Caenorhabditis elegans: one gene and its partners. The protein of the gene in region 1 interacts with the protein of each later gene in a pairwise test. Each region holds a gene or a part of one and is shown on either strand. Other genes may lie near its edges. The genes, in order: ifbp-1, klp-7 and atf-2.

Region 1 (5,447 bases):
TACCTACTTACCTGGTAACGAACCTTTTTTCCGCACAATTCCTCTTGGTCATACCACCAAGGTCAATCCTCGTTTTTCCTTCCGCGAGCGGCGATCATCCTTCCGCTCCCGACAGGGTTGACCTCTGCGCGTCTGCGTCTTTCATCCCATTTTTCCTCGCCCGTTCTTTTCTGAGGGAGAGAGGGAGGGAGAGAGAGAGGGAGAGAGAGAGAGGGAGAGAGAGAGAGAGAAAAGACCTTCAATCAGTTTCTGTAGTAGTCCTTCTCCTTGGGATACTGAATACTAGGTCACCATTTCAATCTCTTTTTTTTCTATTTTTTGTGTTTTTTTCTTTCTCTACCCTCTTTATTGTTCTTGTTTTCTGACCGTCACTTCGCTTTGCACCCCGTTTTTGAATTTTAAACTCCTGCTAAAAGTTATAAATACGAATGTGGGAAGATCGGCTCTTTTTGTTTGGATACTGATGAAAAGTCCTATCAGCTTAAAATCATGAATAGTTTAACAGCACCTTCTCAAGCTTGAAAAAAAGTAAATGTGCAAATGCTCTGCTCAAAGCCCCGAGTTGAAACAAAGTTGTTTACAAAATTATCTTGGTTTAGGTTTTTTGTTCAAAATATCAGTAGTGCAATTACACATTGTTTATTCTACATTTTTAGATCCATAATTTTCTAAAACAATATGATAATTCTTTCTGAATCATCTTTTTTTTCAGTTAAAGGCACTTATCGAGAATTCTTCTTCCCCCCATTTATTTTGCATATCTATTGTGCCAACATGAAATTTGCATTTCTTCCCATTTCTCTTCATTTTCCTTTCATCCAAACATCCACGTTTTCTTCCCCATTGTGCAACGTGGTGCACCATGTCACAGAGAGAGATCTAATCTCCATATTTCTTTCATATAGTTTTTCTTGAGCTTTCAGTATCAATGAACTATGCTCCAAATAAATATTGGTCGGCCTAGCACATCTATGGATGGCCTTATCGGAAGGTTTCTCTCACTTATTCTCATGACTCGCCAATTCGACTTTCACTTGTGTTTCTATCTTTTCAAAATGAAATCACACACCTCTACTTTGGTCTTCGTACCGCTTATCAGTTGTTGGGAAGGGTTTTTCTCCAATAAGGAGGGGTTTAGTGACCTTTCAAGCCTTGTTGACAATTAGCCATTATAGCGTCTAGGAAAATCTAGAACTGATAACAAATAACAAAACATCTAAAATCTAGAAACAGGAACATGTTGATCTGAAAATTGAGCAAATTGATGTTTTGTGCAACTGTGATAAGTCAGAAATTTTGATCACTTTTGATAATAGTTATTCCCCCAACAAAACATTTGAAGGTCTCAAAAACAGAGGGAGTCTCCTCATTTTTGCATTTTCGGAGCCAATTTTGAGTTGCCTTCTTCCATTCCAATTCCTTTATTAAGATGCAGATCCGATGCTAATGATATGCACTATCCATACGTCTTGTGGAATATGAATGAGGAGAGGTCGAAGACTCGGAACCCACCTCTTTTTCTTTTTATTTTTTCTCCTGCAGCTTTTCTTTGCCAATTCTTTGTACACAACTATAGTAATACAATGTGCTCAATGCGTCACTCAGTGCTTCGCCCCTTACTGTCTCCTTCTATTCGTCGATTATTCATAGAGTTCTTCGTCATCCAAAAAAAGTGTTACACATCGCTGTAATAGTTCGGACCCACGCATGCTCATGGTTTTGATATTTTCCATTGTTTATTTGAAATAATACAAAAAAATATTCGATTACCCTAATAGTTTACCAAGTCATGGAACAACCCTGTTTGTGTGCAACCAGAGCATCAGCGTTCTGTTATCAGCTGCCGGCTTTTCTTCTTTTATCACTAAAAAACCATGCCTAGTTTTTTCACCTCTCGACCCTATTCGTCTCGGTCAGGAATCTTTCTTATCTCTAGAATTTCTCCCTCTCTTCCATCACGAACTTGAAACGCGCCATTCCTATTCCTCTACCCCATCATTCTTGCAATCATTCCTCTCGTGGAAATGGGCTCGTTCGCTGAGTCGGCTGCTCTTCTGCAGGCATCGATGTCTCTTTCTCCAACACCTTCTATAATTAACAACAATAATACTGTCGATTATTCTCTATCACTCCAGATGCTCGCGGCTCCGAACGCCGTCTCATTGGCCTCTGTCAACGGTTCTGCTTCACTTCTAACTGCAACAACTGCTGGAATGAAGGCGAATAATAATTCAAATGAGAAATTACCAAGACAACAATGTTACCTGTGTGATTTGCCACGCTGGCCGTGGGCAATCATAAATGATTATATTGAGCCAGTTTGCAGAGGATGCGTCAATTATGAAGGATCAGACAGGTTTGTTTGGAAATAATGATGATGAAAATTCCTTTCGATTTTAAAATTTTCCAAAGTGAAAGTCACAAGTTTTCTTATATTGATACAGGACATGAAAATTTGACACCCTTTTTCTTATAAGACTGCAAGCTAAAAGTTTGTTCTGTAATAGATTTCCTAAAGTTTTTAAAGAATTTTTTTTTTGAAAAAAATTAGAAAAAGAACATATTTTTTTGACGATTTTTCTGCCGAAATTTTTTATAAATTGCAGGACTTCACGATCTTATAGTTTTAAAAAGGTTTCAAGACCAATTGAACTTTTTTTGTTTTTTGTCACCAAATATCTTTTTCTGTTTCAGAATTGAACTCGTACTTGAAGAAACACGCCAACAAAAGAAACTCCAAGGAGTTGGAATCAGTGATCCACAGAATGCAAAGACATCCCTCCGAGATATTACACTTACACAACAACAACCCCTTCAAACATTACCAGTCACTTCTGCTAATGGAATCGGAAGGATAAGCCCACAAAGGACACCTCAGCCAACGGTACTTCCCACGTCCCCATTCCATGTGCCAACTATGAACAACTTGGAGGTAAACATATAAAATTGAAAACTGCAATAGTTTACAAATTTATTTTCAGCAAGTTCTGACCCATCAACGACTTCTGCAAATGACACAAGCCAATCCTCGGGCGGTTGACGATCTTATTCAACAGTCTCTTCGAAGCTTGGGCCCAAATTCTCATCTCTTGGCTCCATTCATGATGAGCATGCTTCCAAGCACAACTTATTCAAATCCAAGAAAACGTGAATCTGACGAAGAGCAGAAGCCTGAAATATATGGAAAAGTGCAGAGAGGTATGTCAGTTAGAATTTAAAATTGACATCGTCCCAAAAAACCGGTTGTTGCGTAAAGTAGTAGTGCCCCCTTCTCTCTCTCCGATTAGCCCGTGTATCGTCTCTCTGTCACCCTCTCGAATTGCGTAATACCGATAGACCCGACAGAAAACCAGCCGAATTTAGAAGAATTAGAAGAAAAGAGTAGCGAGTTGAATGAGTGACCTCGAGAGAAATAAAGGGCTAGATATGGGGTCAACACTTTGAAAACGGAACCGGTTTTAGAGGATGGTAGTGTAGTTGGTTGTGGCGTCGTTGTCGGCGCCTGGCACCCAGGGTCATCACCCCCTCATCATCATCATCTTCTATTTTTCAGGCGATGCCCAAACGACAACTGCCTCGCCAACCTCAACTCATTCACCAGACCATCCGGGAGTTAAGGATCGGAGAGGGATCGCCCCAATTGAGAGAGTTTTGAGATGTACACTGTGCAATGAACGTCTAGAAGACACCCACTTTGTACAATGCCCAACAGTCAGCATTCACAAGTTTTGCTTCCCATGCTCGCGGAGCAGCATCAAGGATCAATGCAAGAGCAGTGATATGTACTGCCCATCAGGCGATAAATGTCCATTAGTCGGATCAGCAATGCCATGGGCATTCATGCAAGGAGAAATTGCACAAATCCTCGGTGACGAGTATGACGAGTTCAAGAGAACCCGAGAAGCTCACGGTCTTGCTCCACCGATGGGTGCCAACGCAGCGACTCTCGCCGCGGCAGCCGCGGCAGCTGCACAGGTATGCCCTTATCAGATTGTGTGAAACTAATTTGTTTGTCCAATTTTGTTATTTATGTTTGGAACTAAATCACCCGCATTTTGCATGGTTTTCAGTTGAGACGGAGACAAAATGCTCAAAGAGCCCACCCTCATCGCACTCTTACACGATCCACAATTAACACTTCTACCTCATGTGTAAGTGATTACTAACATATGACATTGACTAGCATGCAAAAAATTGATTATCGGATTCAAATAAATATGTTGCATGCCCCTAACATCTATTATTTAAACTGATTTTTTTCATTTTCTGAATGAATTAATTTTCAGAACGGCGCCAATCAAACATCTCCAGCCTCCACAACAACTTCTGCGGCTTCTTCCACATCTGCCGCCACGTCACCACAAAACTGATAACCTGTGACGTCACGGAGCACATTAGGCACAAATATTTTTTCTTTCAATCTCTCTTTTTTCTCAGTCCCACTGAAACCGTTCAAAGCTGCACTCAATGCTTTTGTCTGCTTCACCACGATCTCTACTTTTTCCCCCTTTCCAAGTTTTCTTTCTCTCTCTCTCTCTTCGGTCCCAACTACGGTGTGATTTCAAGGGACATTTGGTAATAAATCTTGAGATTTTTTTCCTTTCTCATTTCCCTTTTCCTCGATTACGCTTTTCACTGCTTTTGGGATTTACGGTTTCTTTTCTTTTTTCAGTCCAAAAACTTTGTAATGTTCGTACCTTATCCCCAGTCCATTCTCCCCTGGAACATTGAAAATTCAACTGCCAAACAAATCAAAAAACAACAATCCCACCAAAGCTTTCAGTTTATTTTTTCATTAATTGAATAAAGCTTTGATCAGAAAACTTAAGATATAGTTTGAGAAATTGCAAATTTTCACATATTCTCTCACGAATTCCAAGAATTCAATGTGAAAACTCGGTATAAATTCTACAAAACTTCGAATGATTAGAATTAATCAGAAGGATGGAAGGAAGATATTTTAGATCTGTTCACAAAAATAGTTCCAGTCCTCGATTTGGGCTTCAACAATCTGCGACACCATTGCGGATGTATCTCAGTATGGAAATATAGCATGACGCTTCTGTAAATGTTTCCGGAAACTCTTATCAACACGTTCGACCAACGTCCACTCACCCGTCCAGCGCATGAATCGATAGAAAACTGACGGACAGAAAAATGAACTGATACCAAATTGCTGAATTGAGTTTGAAGAGTATTGTGCAATTGATCATGTCGATCAAGTGAAGTGTGTCTTGCAGCACACTCTGAAATATGGAAAAAGGAGATTCCGGTAAAAGTATTCATGTGAAGATGAAAATTGTTTATGTATTTGTTCTCGAGAATAAACAAAAGTTGATAAAGATAACAACGGTCAAGAGTTCACAAATTTCATCAATTTGCAGAAAATCGTGTCATGAAACAAGCAAAGCAGAGAAGTGTGACGAAATTTTGAACTACTTCTATGA
Region 2 (7,302 bases), on another chromosome or scaffold:
CGGGCTAAAATTTTGCCGTCCAATTCCTAACGAGACCCAGCGTTTAGGGGTGGTGCAACCTTATTACGGGAGCATAATATTCTGAGAATGCGTATTGGGCAACATATTTGACGAGCAAAATAAATTATAACTATATCTCGTAGCGAAAACTACAGTAATTCTTTAAATGACTACTGTAGTGTCGATTTACGGGGTCAATTTTTGAAATTAATTGCATAAATCATTTGTTCATCTATAGAATATTAAAGTTAAGCAAAAAAAAAGAAAAAAGTTATACGACGAAACGAAGAAATTCATTTTAAAAATCAAGCCCGTAAATCGAGCTACAGTAGTCATCTAAAGAATTACTGTAGTTTTCGCTACGAGATATTTTGCGCGTCAAATATGTTGTGCAATACGCATTATTAGAATTTTGTGTTCTAATGTAATATATTCAGATCGAAAGAGACAAATTTATTTCAAATTCTGCAAGTACTCTTTTAAAAATTCGAAAATCATCACTGTAAAAATGTGTGGAGCGAAGTTTTTTATTTTTTGATGGGAATTACACACACACAAACCGCCACCGGCAAACATAAGTCAATCGGATTAAACAGATTTAAATTGTAAATGGTAGAATTTCAAACGAAAAAATTGCCGGAAACCTAAAAAAAAAATTCCAGAACATGGGGGGAAACTTTGGTCTCATAATCAGCAAGAAAAGTGATAAGGGATCACTTTCTTTAATGGGACGCCGCCGCCGGCCAGTGGAAAAGGTTAAAAATGCAATGTGACAAAAAAATGATGCTGATTTTTCATTTTTATGGTATGTTTATTACAGACTTTGTAACTCTGAAAAAGGGCGTTACATATAGATATTTTGATTTCTTTCTTTGCTGGAAAATAAAATTAAAAGTAAGGTCTCGGCGCGCGAATTGTATTTTTTTCTTTTGCCTTTCAATGTGGAATAGTTTTTGCTTCAAAAAATTCAAAAAAAAACGTCTGAAATTCAAAAAGAATCATTAAAAAAACGATAAAATCGATAAAATCCTTCCAAAAAAGAACTACCAATCAGCGATTCGTTACGCCCAAATCTCAACCAATCAGACGGAATGGGCGGAGTTAAAGAATGCTGATTGGGTGGAAAGTAGGCGGAGTGAATCGCTGATTGGTCTTGCAGTTCTCATTTTATCTGGAGGGAATTCTCAAATGAGAACTGCGACCAATCAGCGACTTCGAACTCCGTACACTCCATCGTTGATTGGTCGCATTTCTCCGTGTTTTTTAATTGAATTTTTCTTGTTTTTTTGTGGATTTTTTAAGCCAAAATGGATAAAAAATAAAAAGAAAAAAGAAAAACCCAAAAAAAAAGTATTTTTTTTAATTGATAAAAATATATAAAAGCTGATTTTTTCAAAAATTCAAAAGTCCTGGAAAATCATATGGAGTCATTCTTTTTTATTTCCCACTCCATCGTTGATTGGTCGCATTTCTCCGTGTTTTTTAATTGAATTTTTCTTGTTTTTTGTTGTGGATTTTTTAAGCCAAAATGGATAAAAAATAAAAAGAAAAAAGAAAAAACCCGTGGCATCATAAATTTCGCATTGTCACGTGGCATTGTTTATTTTCCGTTCGGACAAAAAATAATGAAAAAAATATTATTTCCAATTCGATCCCGATGAAAAGTTGCAGAAGTTGTAAGGAAAATCCTGAAGTGCAGAGAAAACGAGCCGAGAAGCCGTGGCGACGGGCTCCGAAGGCCAAATCAGAAGTCGAAAAGCATGGAATCGGTCCACCGGACAGTGATTCAGGGGAGGAAATATCATTTCCTTGGTATAATGTGACCGGTAAGTGAGTCATCTCGACTTTTTCGGAAATAAGCTGAGAGGCTTATATTTCTTTTTGTCGCATTTCATGAACTTTCAGCCAGTTTCAGTTATTACTCAGATGTCAAACTTTTTCGTTTTTTTGAACTCGAAAATACGATCCCGACGCGACAATTTTTGTAATATGCAAAAAGGCGTGCGCCTTTGAAGAGTACTGTAACTTCCTAACTTCCACCACGATTTTCATCGATTATTCATGGATTGTCTCCCGTTTCCGCAATTTTTAAATGTGTTTTATTTTGTTTAAAAAAAATAGCGTCTTGTGCAACATATTTGACGCACAAAATATCTCTTAAGTTAGCGAAAACTACAGTAATTCTAATTCTTTTTTTTCCATTTTCATTCGTTTCTTCGCATAATTTTCTCATTTTTATTTTTATTTTAATATTTTAGCGATAGTAAAGTAAAATTTTAATCCATCCGAGCCCGTAAATCGACTACAGTAGTCATTTATAAAGTTACTGTAGCTTTCGTTACAAGATATTTTGCGCGTCAAATATGTTGTGTGAGACGCATTATCATAATTCTGTGTTGTAGTAATAGTTTTAGTAATAGTTTTTCGTCAAAAAATGTTCTTGAAAAGTAAATGAAAACTGAAAATTCCGCTTTGCAGTTAGAGTTACTATTTAAAGGCGCATACACAATTTTGCATTCAACCAAAATTTTTCGTGTCGAGACCTGGTATCGTACGTTTCCCAAGTGTTTATGTGCAAAGGTTACCCATCATAATCCTTTTTTGCTCCGTCTTTTTGCACCACACCCAAAAAAAGCAAGAAAGAGCTCATAACCATAGAGCAATGTCTCTCTGTCTGTCTTTCTTTGTGAGCTTTTCATGTGTATGTGTCCTATTTAGAAGCACTGCATTTTCTTTCCCTCCTCCACGTCTTCCGGCTCTCTCGGTCCCCCCCCCCCCCCCCCCAACTATTCCCGATTGCGAAACACGAGCTCTTCGGGAACCGAGCCCCCACTTCCAATTCTTCGTGTCCCTCATTTTATTGCCGCATTCCGGCGAGTCTTCTTTAGTTTCAGTCGTTTGAACATTTGTTCTCGAGAAATTCGATAATTTTTATTAGGGAAAAGTAGGTTTCAAATCGAAAACTCGGCTTAAATCGTTGAATTTGAAGGAAAAATTTAATAAATAGTGTCTAAAATTATAGAAAATTATGCAAAGCTTTGACAAAGCTTTGCAAAGGCGAGAAATCAAAAATTGAATTTTTCTAGACTTGTCTAATTGCCTCTGATATGTTTTGACCTACAATTGACCTACGATCTCAGGCGGGCGCGCACGAATTCATATTTTTGTTTCGCGAAGTTTCTCTCATTTTGTTTTTCCTTCGCTATCATTTTAGGTGGTTTTCGGGTTGACTCAGCCGGTTTTTGGCCAGTTTTTTTTGTTTTAAGTTAATTTTTCTTATTTTGTCACAATTTCTTTTTGATTAATGGCAAATAATTATTATAATCTGAACATTTTGCTTTGAAACTCGAAAAAATCTAGAAAAAGAATAATTGTATCGTAGTCGTTTTCTGATTTTTACATGGAATTCAAGTCAATATTCATGTTTTTTAATGAAAAAACATGAATTTTCTCCAAGAAACGATTATTCATTTAAAGGAACATACGTGCCTGCTGAGCTCGTGTCTCGTAGCGAAATTTGTATCGTAGTCGTTTCCGCATTTTTTAGTTTTTAGACCTTTTCAAGAAATTTTCTCTGTTTTTCGCTTCAGAAAAGATCCATTTTCGCGAACATTTCTACCATTTTTTTTACAAAATTATCCTGTTACATCGATTTTGATCGATATCATCAAAATACACTAGTTTTCTCCTCCAAAACCGTCTGTTTTACATTTCTGGAGCCCACGTTTCTGACCGTTTCGCTCCGTAATCCGTTGGAAGAAGCACTCCTTTGTGTGTCCAGACCCACCCGTCCATGCTGTGTCCATCGAGCGGTCGCCTGTCTGCGTTTCTTCACTCCCCTCGCCTATTTCATCCGTTTTCCTCCCTCTACTCCCCCTTCGAACGCAATTTTCGCGCCAATTTCCCAGCAGCAGCAGCGGCAGTACTCGCCATTTCATAACATCTCCCCCGCCACTGACTAATGTTTTCCGATAGTTTATCATTTTCTTTCATGGGATATGAACAATTGTTTCCTTTATTCTTACGCTCTAATTAACTCGAATCCAATTAATTTGTTATTATTTTCAGGTAAAATGCTTGTCGTCGGGATGCATGTGGAAATCAAGCGGAGCGACGGCCGCATCCACGGTGCCGTAATCGCCGAAGTTAAGTCGAACGGCCGGTTTATGGTGGAATGGTATGAGAAGGTGAGTCGCATCCTTCGAGAAGACCATCACTCGTCACAGAATCATGCATTTCGGATGTGATGCCGAACCAAAAATCATGCATTTGGCATTGTGTACTTTCTTTCTTCTCTTTTTTCTCTTGCAATCTTTCACATTTTCAGGGCGAGACAAAAGGAAAGGAATCCTCGTTGGAAGAACTTCTCACGCTGAACCCATCACTCCAAGCACCGAAGCCTACGCCGCCGCCACAGCCTCCTCAAAAAACGCTTCAAGCGTCAACTGCTGTCAACAGACAAAACGGGATCCATGCGCAGAGCATGATACTCGATGACGAGGATACATTCCTCTTGGATCATATCAACATGATTCCGGCTAAAGGTTTGTTGGAGAGTTCTGGTTTAATATGAAACAAAAATTGATTTTCAGGTGCTTCTGCCAACAAACGACCAACGGGAGCTTTCACGCAGCACGTTCCTGTTCGTATGGCTCCTCCATCCGAAAAGCCTCTCCCGACTCGTCGTGCTCCGTCACCGAAGGAGGATGCTGCTCCTGCACCGAAGTCTACTCGTACGACAGCAGCCTTCAAGCCAGATCTTGATAGTACGGCGATCACGGTTCCGAAGCACACTGCAAGGCGCACAGTTGTGGTAGCTCCAGCTCCGGCCCCTGTTCCTGCTCCACCAATCGCCAACATGACATCACAGCGAGCCCCGTCTCCAGTGGCAAGAGTTCCGTCGCCGAAGAACGTACCGCGGTCGTATCCACAACAGGATGTTCAGCCGTCGAATGGGAACTTTGCTTTCGCGGAGATGATTCGCAACTACAGAGCCCAGATCGACTATCGTCCGTTGAGCATGTTCGACGGTGTCAACGAGAATCGGATTTCCGTTTGCGTTCGGAAGCGCCCACTGAACAAGAAGGAGCTGACGAAAGCGGAGGTCGATGTGATCACGATCCCTTCTCGTGACATCACAATTCTCCATCAACCACAAACACGTGTCGACTTGACAAAGTATCTGGACAATCAGAAGTTCCGATTCGATTACTCTTTCGACGAGTACGCCAACAACGAGCTGGTCTATCGGTTGGTTTTTTTAATTTTTCAGTTTTCGTTTTTAAAAATGATATTTTCAGCTTCACTGCAGCACCACTCGTGAAAACCGTCTTCGACAATGGAACTGCGACGTGCTTTGCCTACGGTCAAACAGGATCCGGAAAGACGCACACAATGGGTGGAGATTTCTCCGGAAAGAAGCAGAATGCGTCGATGGGAATCTACGCGTTGACGGCACGAGATGTGTTCCGGATGCTCGAGCAGCCACAGTACCGTCGCAAGGATCTCTCGGTGCACTGTGCGTTCTTCGAGATTTACGGAACGAAGACGTACGACTTGCTCAACGATAAGGCCGAGCTTCGTGTGCTTGAGGATAAGATGCAGAAGGTGCAGGTTGTTGGGCTCAAAGAGGAGCAAGCGCACAATGAGCAGGATGTCTTGGAGCTCATCAACAAAGGAACTCTGGTCAGAACCGCTGGAACCACTTCGGCAAACGCGAACTCGTCGCGTTCTCACGCCATATTCCAGATCATTCTTAGACAGTTAGTTTTTGTTTTTACGTGAAGATTGCTTTAAAATTAATTATTTTCAGAGGCAAAAAGGTGTGGGGCAAGTTCTCGTTGATCGACTTGGCTGGAAACGAGCGAGGACAAGACACGAGAGAATGCGATCGTGACACGCGGAAAGAGGGCGCCAACATCAACACATCGCTGCTCGCACTGAAGGAGTGCATCCGTGGAATGGCTCGCAACAGCTCACATGTCCCGTTCAGACAGTCGAAGCTCACGATGGTTCTCCGAGACAGCTTCATCGGTGAGAAGTCCAGGACAGTGATGATCTCGATGATTTCGCCAGGGATCTCGTCGAGTGATCACACGCTCAACACACTTCGCTACGCGGATCGGTAGGAATTTTATTTATTTTTTGCTAAAAAAAATTCACATTTTTCAGTGTCAAAGAAATGGGAACCGACGGAAGCGGCGAAGCAACCCCAATTCGAGACGAGGAATTGTTCCTGCCCCCATCGGCAGACAAATCGGATGAAGAGTACGATGAGATGGTCGAGAAGCAAGAACATCGTCGAGTAGCGGTCGATCACGTCCGGAACCTGAAAGATATGTCTGAAAAGATCATACGCGAAACGACGATTGTCCTCTCCAACGAGCCGAGTGCTGCCCAGAAAGCCGAATGCCTCGCCAAGCTTGATCAACTTGCGCAGATAGTCTCGAACACCCGTGTCGCCGTGGAAAACGTCTGATTGCTGATTCCCGCGACGATATGCTACCCACTTCATGTACCATGATTATTACTCCCCGCCCCCCTCATTATTCACCATTTTCTATTTATTTTTATCGCATTCCTCCAATATTTTACCGTATTTATTTCATTTAGGGTATGTGAAAATTATTTGACCCTCCCCTTCCATCTTTTTCCCCTCTCGTTGTGAATATTTTACGGGTCCCCATTTTTTCTCGGTTCCGTTTTAAATGAACCATTTTATTCGTTTAATCAGTGTTCAATTTGAAGGTGGCTGTTCCGGAATTCATGCACAATTAAGTCGTTCTCTTGAGGCCCCACGAAAAGGGGAGCAGAACGAAAAGGGGATCTGCAAAAAGGAGATCTGCGAAAAGGGGAGATACGAAAAGGGGAGATACGAAAAAGGGGAGATACGAAAAGGAGATCTGGCACTGTGCCAAACGCTATTTTTCTCGAAGAAAACAATACAACGATGCTCCGATGTTACGCGTCGCGTGTTGTTAAGCGTATCTTCTAGAAGAAAATTTCAAAAATCAACGTGCGTTGCGTGAGAAAAATTGCGTTTTGTGCGTTTGGCACAGTGCCAGCTCCCCTTTTCGTATCTCCCCTTTTCATATCTCCCCTTTTCGCAGATCCCCTTTTTGCAGATCCCCTTTTTGCAGATCCCCTTTTCGTTCTGCTCCCCGTTTCGTGGGGCCTCGTTCTCTTCAAAAAATCGTTGTGATACCCAGCATGCTCCTTTAAACTTGCGTGGGATCCTGGTTTGTTCTGAGTTGATGTTAGGCTGTAATTGCTCGTTCTATAATAACGAGACGTGGTAGTCGG
Region 3 (4,565 bases), on another chromosome or scaffold:
AATCAGTTTCCACTGGAACATTCCAAGTTGCTTCAGTATTTTGCTTTTTGGTTCTAGTATTTGGACTTCTGGATCTAGGCCTGAATGCCTTCTATTTTTATCGTAATTCAAAAAAGGCGCCAATTTATGACATTCCGCCACCGTCTGTTGCCGTCATCGAAACGGAAAAGTGGGTCAAGATTTGCATAAAATTAGGAAATATTTTATATTTCATGTCCTTTCAGAAGTATACATGACATTTACATGGAGTATCAACGAAAAGGGCAAACAAGTTCTGTTTAATGGAAAAGTAATCAAATAATTATCAATGCTCAACTTTAAATTCACTTTCTCATAATAATTTGTATATATGAAACATTAATAAAACAATTTTCTGATTCAGTTATATCATTCTGAAAAGTTTCCGTTTTCTGGCAAGCGACGGGTGGATTTTAAAAATCGTTTGCAGACTTTACTTTTTTTTGTTGTTTCACCTTTTTTTGTACAGGAAGCAAATCAAAAATAATAACACATTGGTTTTATTAGAAACAATTAATGAAACATTTAAAGTTAAAAAGTATTGCACATGAATGATTGGAAGTATTGCAGAAAGAGAGGAAGGGTTTTTTGAGAGCGAAAGACTTTGATTGGGGGGCATCTAGCGAGAAGACGAAGAAAATTGGCTTTCTATCCGTATTAGTCAAAAATAAGAAAATGGAATGGGATCAAGGGTGAAGGGCAGTAACAACTGATGCTCTTTGAGCCAAAACTGATTTGAAGTGGGCTATTTCTGCTTTTAGCGTTTCGATTTGGGTACGAAGATCTTCATTTTCACCTTCCAAGAGCTGAAAATGTTAAGTAATAATTGATTCAATAAATTTATATCTAAGTTTTAAAATTTTATGTTTTCTATTAAAATTAGTTTCAACTTACCTGAACTCGTCGTGACCTGTATTCGAATACTGCTCGTCTATTTGCTCTACATCTTTTTGCGGCTTCATTGTTCCTTCGACGTCTGTCCACATATTGGGGCTGAAAGTTTTTTTTTGAAATATTTGACATGTATTTAAAAATGTCTTCTTTCAATTCCTTTAAAAAAACTTACCGATTTGTTCGAATAATTTGAGTGATCTTCCGAAGAATGCGATGGAGAGAAAGATGCTGAAGACGATACACTTTCACAGTCTGATTTGTTTCCAGTATGTCTTGGAGGGGAATTTAGCCCCGAAATATGTTCCGTTCGGCTTTGTGGTACTGTAGGAGAAGGTCTTCGCTGTGAAAGAAGAGCAGATAGCAGGGATGGTCCTTGTTGAACAGCTTGGATTACTGGTTGAGGCGTACCTGATGGAGCAGGCTGACCGACTGAAATAAATTTTAGATTATAGTTTCAATTAATACTAGTGAAATGAAAATATGCTCTTTACTTTCAAAAACAACGACTTACTTTGTTGAATAACGCTAGATCCAGGCTGTAACTGAGGTTGAGGCATATTCACGTCAGTTGATGAATCTGGACTTCTTCGTTCAATTTTCACAATTACGCTACTCGATGGAAAACTCTGCTGAGCACTTTCTGATGGTCGAAAAGGATGAAATGCAGATGAAGACGATGAAGAGAATAAAGATGATGCTGACGTTGATGCAGGTTGTTGAGTGCTCGCATAGACCTACAAACATGGAAAAACGTTATGGGACATCTGTCTTTCTAGGTCACGCATTCAGCTGTCAATGTATTCATTAAATTGTTGACAATCTGAGTTGTGTTGCCAAAAAATGACAATGGAACTTTATATGCGGTTCAGACGTTTTTGTAATAGTAAATATTTTTCCACGAGTTAATTTATTTTATTTAAATCATCACAATTTCGATATTTCCAAGTTCAATAAAATAACTTACCGGTGACTGAATAGTTGTTGGCTGTAGTTGACAAAGCTGCAACATTGATGGAATATGCGAAGCTGCCTGGAGCAATGGAACAGTAAGCATTGAACTCGCTTGCAAAGATGCTATTGGACCCGCTGGGAAAAGATTCTTTGCAACTTGGGGAATAATCAGAGATGTTGGAGGCTCTGTTACTGATGGTTGTGGAATTGGTGTCGTTCCTAACTGAGATTTTAACCGTTCGTTTTCGGCGGAAAGTAACATTATTTTTTCTTCCATTGCTAGATCGTTTTGCCTTCGCTTTTCTCGACTTCTTCTTGATGCATCGTTATTTCTCCGTCGCCTTTCCCAGTAATGTTCATCTTTTATTACACTTTCGTTTACGGAATTTCTGGAAAAATAGTTATCAATGTCGAAAAGTATTTAAACTTTCAAAAGTTTCATCAAACTGTTAAAAATTCAAACCTTCTAGATTCCGGGGGAGATCCTTCTGAAAAGTTCGACGAATCCGACGAGCTCGATGAGAACTCGGCGGATGCCGAACAAACCACCGAAAGTCTGGAGGACGGTGACAATGATGCCGAGTCGACGTCCATCTGAAAAATAAAAATAAGATGATTAAAAGTCAAACAAAAGAAGAAAATCAAGAATATAGAAGTACGAAATTTGAAAGAAAAGAACATCGGTGAAAGAAATATGAATACCAAAATCTTTCAAAATGAATTAAGACACAACATTTATATTTTGACTTCAAAATGTTAGTACACATGGTGTATTGAAATGGAAAGTTAGTAGAGTTAAAAGAAGCTGTCAACCTATTTGATGTAAGGACAAATACGTCTTTTTGAGTTGAAATTGACACGATCTTTGGAGATTCAGCACAATCAGAAGTTCAATGTGTTCACTGTTTCCAGATATTATTAATTAATTGTAAGCCATTTTAATTGACCAATGTGTATACAAAAATTATTCAGTTTTTGGTTTCAGTGAAGATGATCTTACGCAATGCTAATCCCTGAGTATCTAGACAACCAGAAAATCACTAACTTAAAAAAAGGTGAGAAAACAAAGTATATCTGGTACAGGTGTGTTCATATGGTAGGTGTAGAGTGCAGTTAGCAACAATTAAGCGGTGTTGTGCCTCTCCTCAGTTGACCTATTTGCGCCTTGCAAACCAGTTAGCCATGGTCAATGTTTCGGACAATGCTTGGTAGATCCTCTCACTCTCAGTCTCTACAATAAACCAGTCGAAGAACAGGATATCCCCTCCGACTTTCGCCCCCTTCTCTCTTCATTGCAGTCCCTTCTCTTTTTCTTCGACCCGTCTCCTAATCATTTTTCATCGTTCGCAACGACTTCAACGCGTCGCCTCCTCCGATCCATGATGATGCCGACTTTTCCTAATTGTTTTCACTTTCCTTTCGCTTTCATGCTTAACTTTCGCTGCTTCGGGTTACGGATGTATGTGTGTCTAAGTGTGAGAAGGAGGAGGAGGTCAATGGTTGAATTCGTCGCATCAGGTCACTAGTACAAAAGGGTAGGTGAACTTTGCGGAGAATTGGAAGACAAGAGGATGAAGCTACTGGGTGGAAAGTGAATAATGAGATACGGCTAAAAGATAAAGTTGAAAAAGATAACGAAGAAAAAATTGGTAGGTTTAGATAAACAAAAGTCTTGAAAAATTCATAAACGCACTCTAGGTCAGGACTGTAAAATATGACCAATGTGAGTGCAAGCCTGATAGAGAAATTTTGGTTATTTTTCACTGCTGAACACAAAAAATGATACTCAATTCTGAAAGTAATTGTTCAAGAAACTCGGAAACGATACAAGCAAATGTATTCAAAATGAAAAAAATGCGTTGAACTAGATGAACAAATTCGCGAAATCGGGCTGGACTTGTTTGTTTTTGATTGTGCACCTTGAAAAAGAGTGGCGAGAGCCAAAATAACCGCCGCCCGTGTTGGGGGACAATCGTCAGCGAAAAGAGAGAGCTATTTTTGTTTGTTTGTAAGGCTCGGAGAATGACGAGAAGTGAATCACAAACAGTGTCCACTATCCTCCCGCACCGCTTCCAAAACTTTTTTGTCTGCAAACCAGAACAGCCAAATTCACTGCATCATTTGATGATTTTGATGACCAGTGAGTGTGTGCCTGTCCCTTGCTGTGTCTACTTCAGTAGTTTTACATGGAGAGCGGATAATACGGTTAGGTAGAGTAACAGAGTGAGAGTGCACTTTTGGTAGTTGATTGCGAAAGTGAGGTGTTGAAATGATGGTATTCTTGTTGGGAACTGAAAGATCGCAGTTCGATACGAGAAAGAGAGAGTGGCTAGCACGATCATATCGTTCGGGAACGAGTCGGTGAAAGTATGCAGGCTATGGGAAGGAAAGTGAATGAAATTGGAAAAAGAGGAGAGAAAATTGAAATTCAATTTTAGATAAAGGTATCTTTACTTGAATCTAGGATTGTCAAGAAGAACTGTTATTTTCTTAGAACTTTTAAATTGGAACAAGTGAAGTTTTAGCTTTTCACATGAAAAAGAGGTATTCTTTGAGTCTGCCCACTTTGAAAAGTGAATTAATGAAAACTGTTTCAAAATTATTGAATCAACAACTTTAATCAAATAAAATGAGTTAGTTATATTTTTTTTTCTTAAGTTAAAGACGGTGTAGCGTTTTCCAGGTTACGTTTTCGATTATTT

What was found.
Region 2: the proteins of ifbp-1 (region 1) and klp-7 interact in a two-hybrid assay, tested with the Caenorhabditis elegans proteins (2 studies listed by BioGRID).
Region 3: the proteins of ifbp-1 (region 1) and atf-2 interact in a two-hybrid assay, tested with the Caenorhabditis elegans proteins (2 studies listed by BioGRID).

What each region holds. Positions count from the first base shown.
Region 1 is NC_003283.11:13,369,476-13,374,922, reverse strand, and holds ifbp-1 (Interferon regulatory factor 2-binding protein 1 & 2 zinc finger domain-containing protein), read left to right. Parts: upstream 1-1,902; 5' UTR 1,903-2,024; coding exon 2,025-2,356; intron 2,357-2,694; coding exon 2,695-2,932; intron 2,933-2,981; coding exon 2,982-3,198; intron 3,199-3,553; coding exon 3,554-3,975; intron 3,976-4,070; coding exon 4,071-4,151; intron 4,152-4,286; coding exon 4,287-4,370; 3' UTR 4,371-4,828; downstream 4,829-5,447. Other genes in the region: srx-125 (7TM GPCR serpentine receptor class x (Srx) domain-containing protein), read right to left, coding at 4,933-5,062, 5,116-5,246.
Region 2 is NC_003281.10:10,804,273-10,811,574, forward strand, and holds klp-7 (Kinesin-like protein), read left to right. Parts: upstream 1-1,652; 5' UTR 1,653-1,657; coding exon 1,658-1,826; intron 1,827-3,209; exon of another isoform or gene 3,210-3,230; intron 3,231-3,765; exon of another isoform or gene 3,766-3,910; intron 3,911-4,068; coding exon 4,069-4,187; intron 4,188-4,327; coding exon 4,328-4,544; intron 4,545-4,592; coding exon 4,593-5,250; intron 5,251-5,300; coding exon 5,301-5,762; intron 5,763-5,812; coding exon 5,813-6,124; intron 6,125-6,171; coding exon 6,172-6,478; 3' UTR 6,479-6,727; downstream 6,728-7,302.
Region 3 is NC_003280.10:8,749,878-8,754,442, reverse strand, and holds atf-2 (Transcription factor atf-2), read right to left. Parts: upstream 2,458-4,565; coding exon 2,327-2,457; intron 2,253-2,326; coding exon 1,877-2,252; intron 1,647-1,876; coding exon 1,424-1,646; intron 1,342-1,423; coding exon 1,085-1,341; intron 1,012-1,084; coding exon 913-1,011; intron 825-912; coding exon 705-824; 3' UTR 510-704; downstream 1-509. Other genes in the region: K08F8.7 (MARVEL domain-containing protein), read left to right, coding at 1-169, 225-282. UniProt on the Caenorhabditis elegans protein: Acts as a transcription factor that recognizes and binds to the sequence 5'-[GA]TTA[CT]GTAA[CT]-3', a sequence present in many promoters.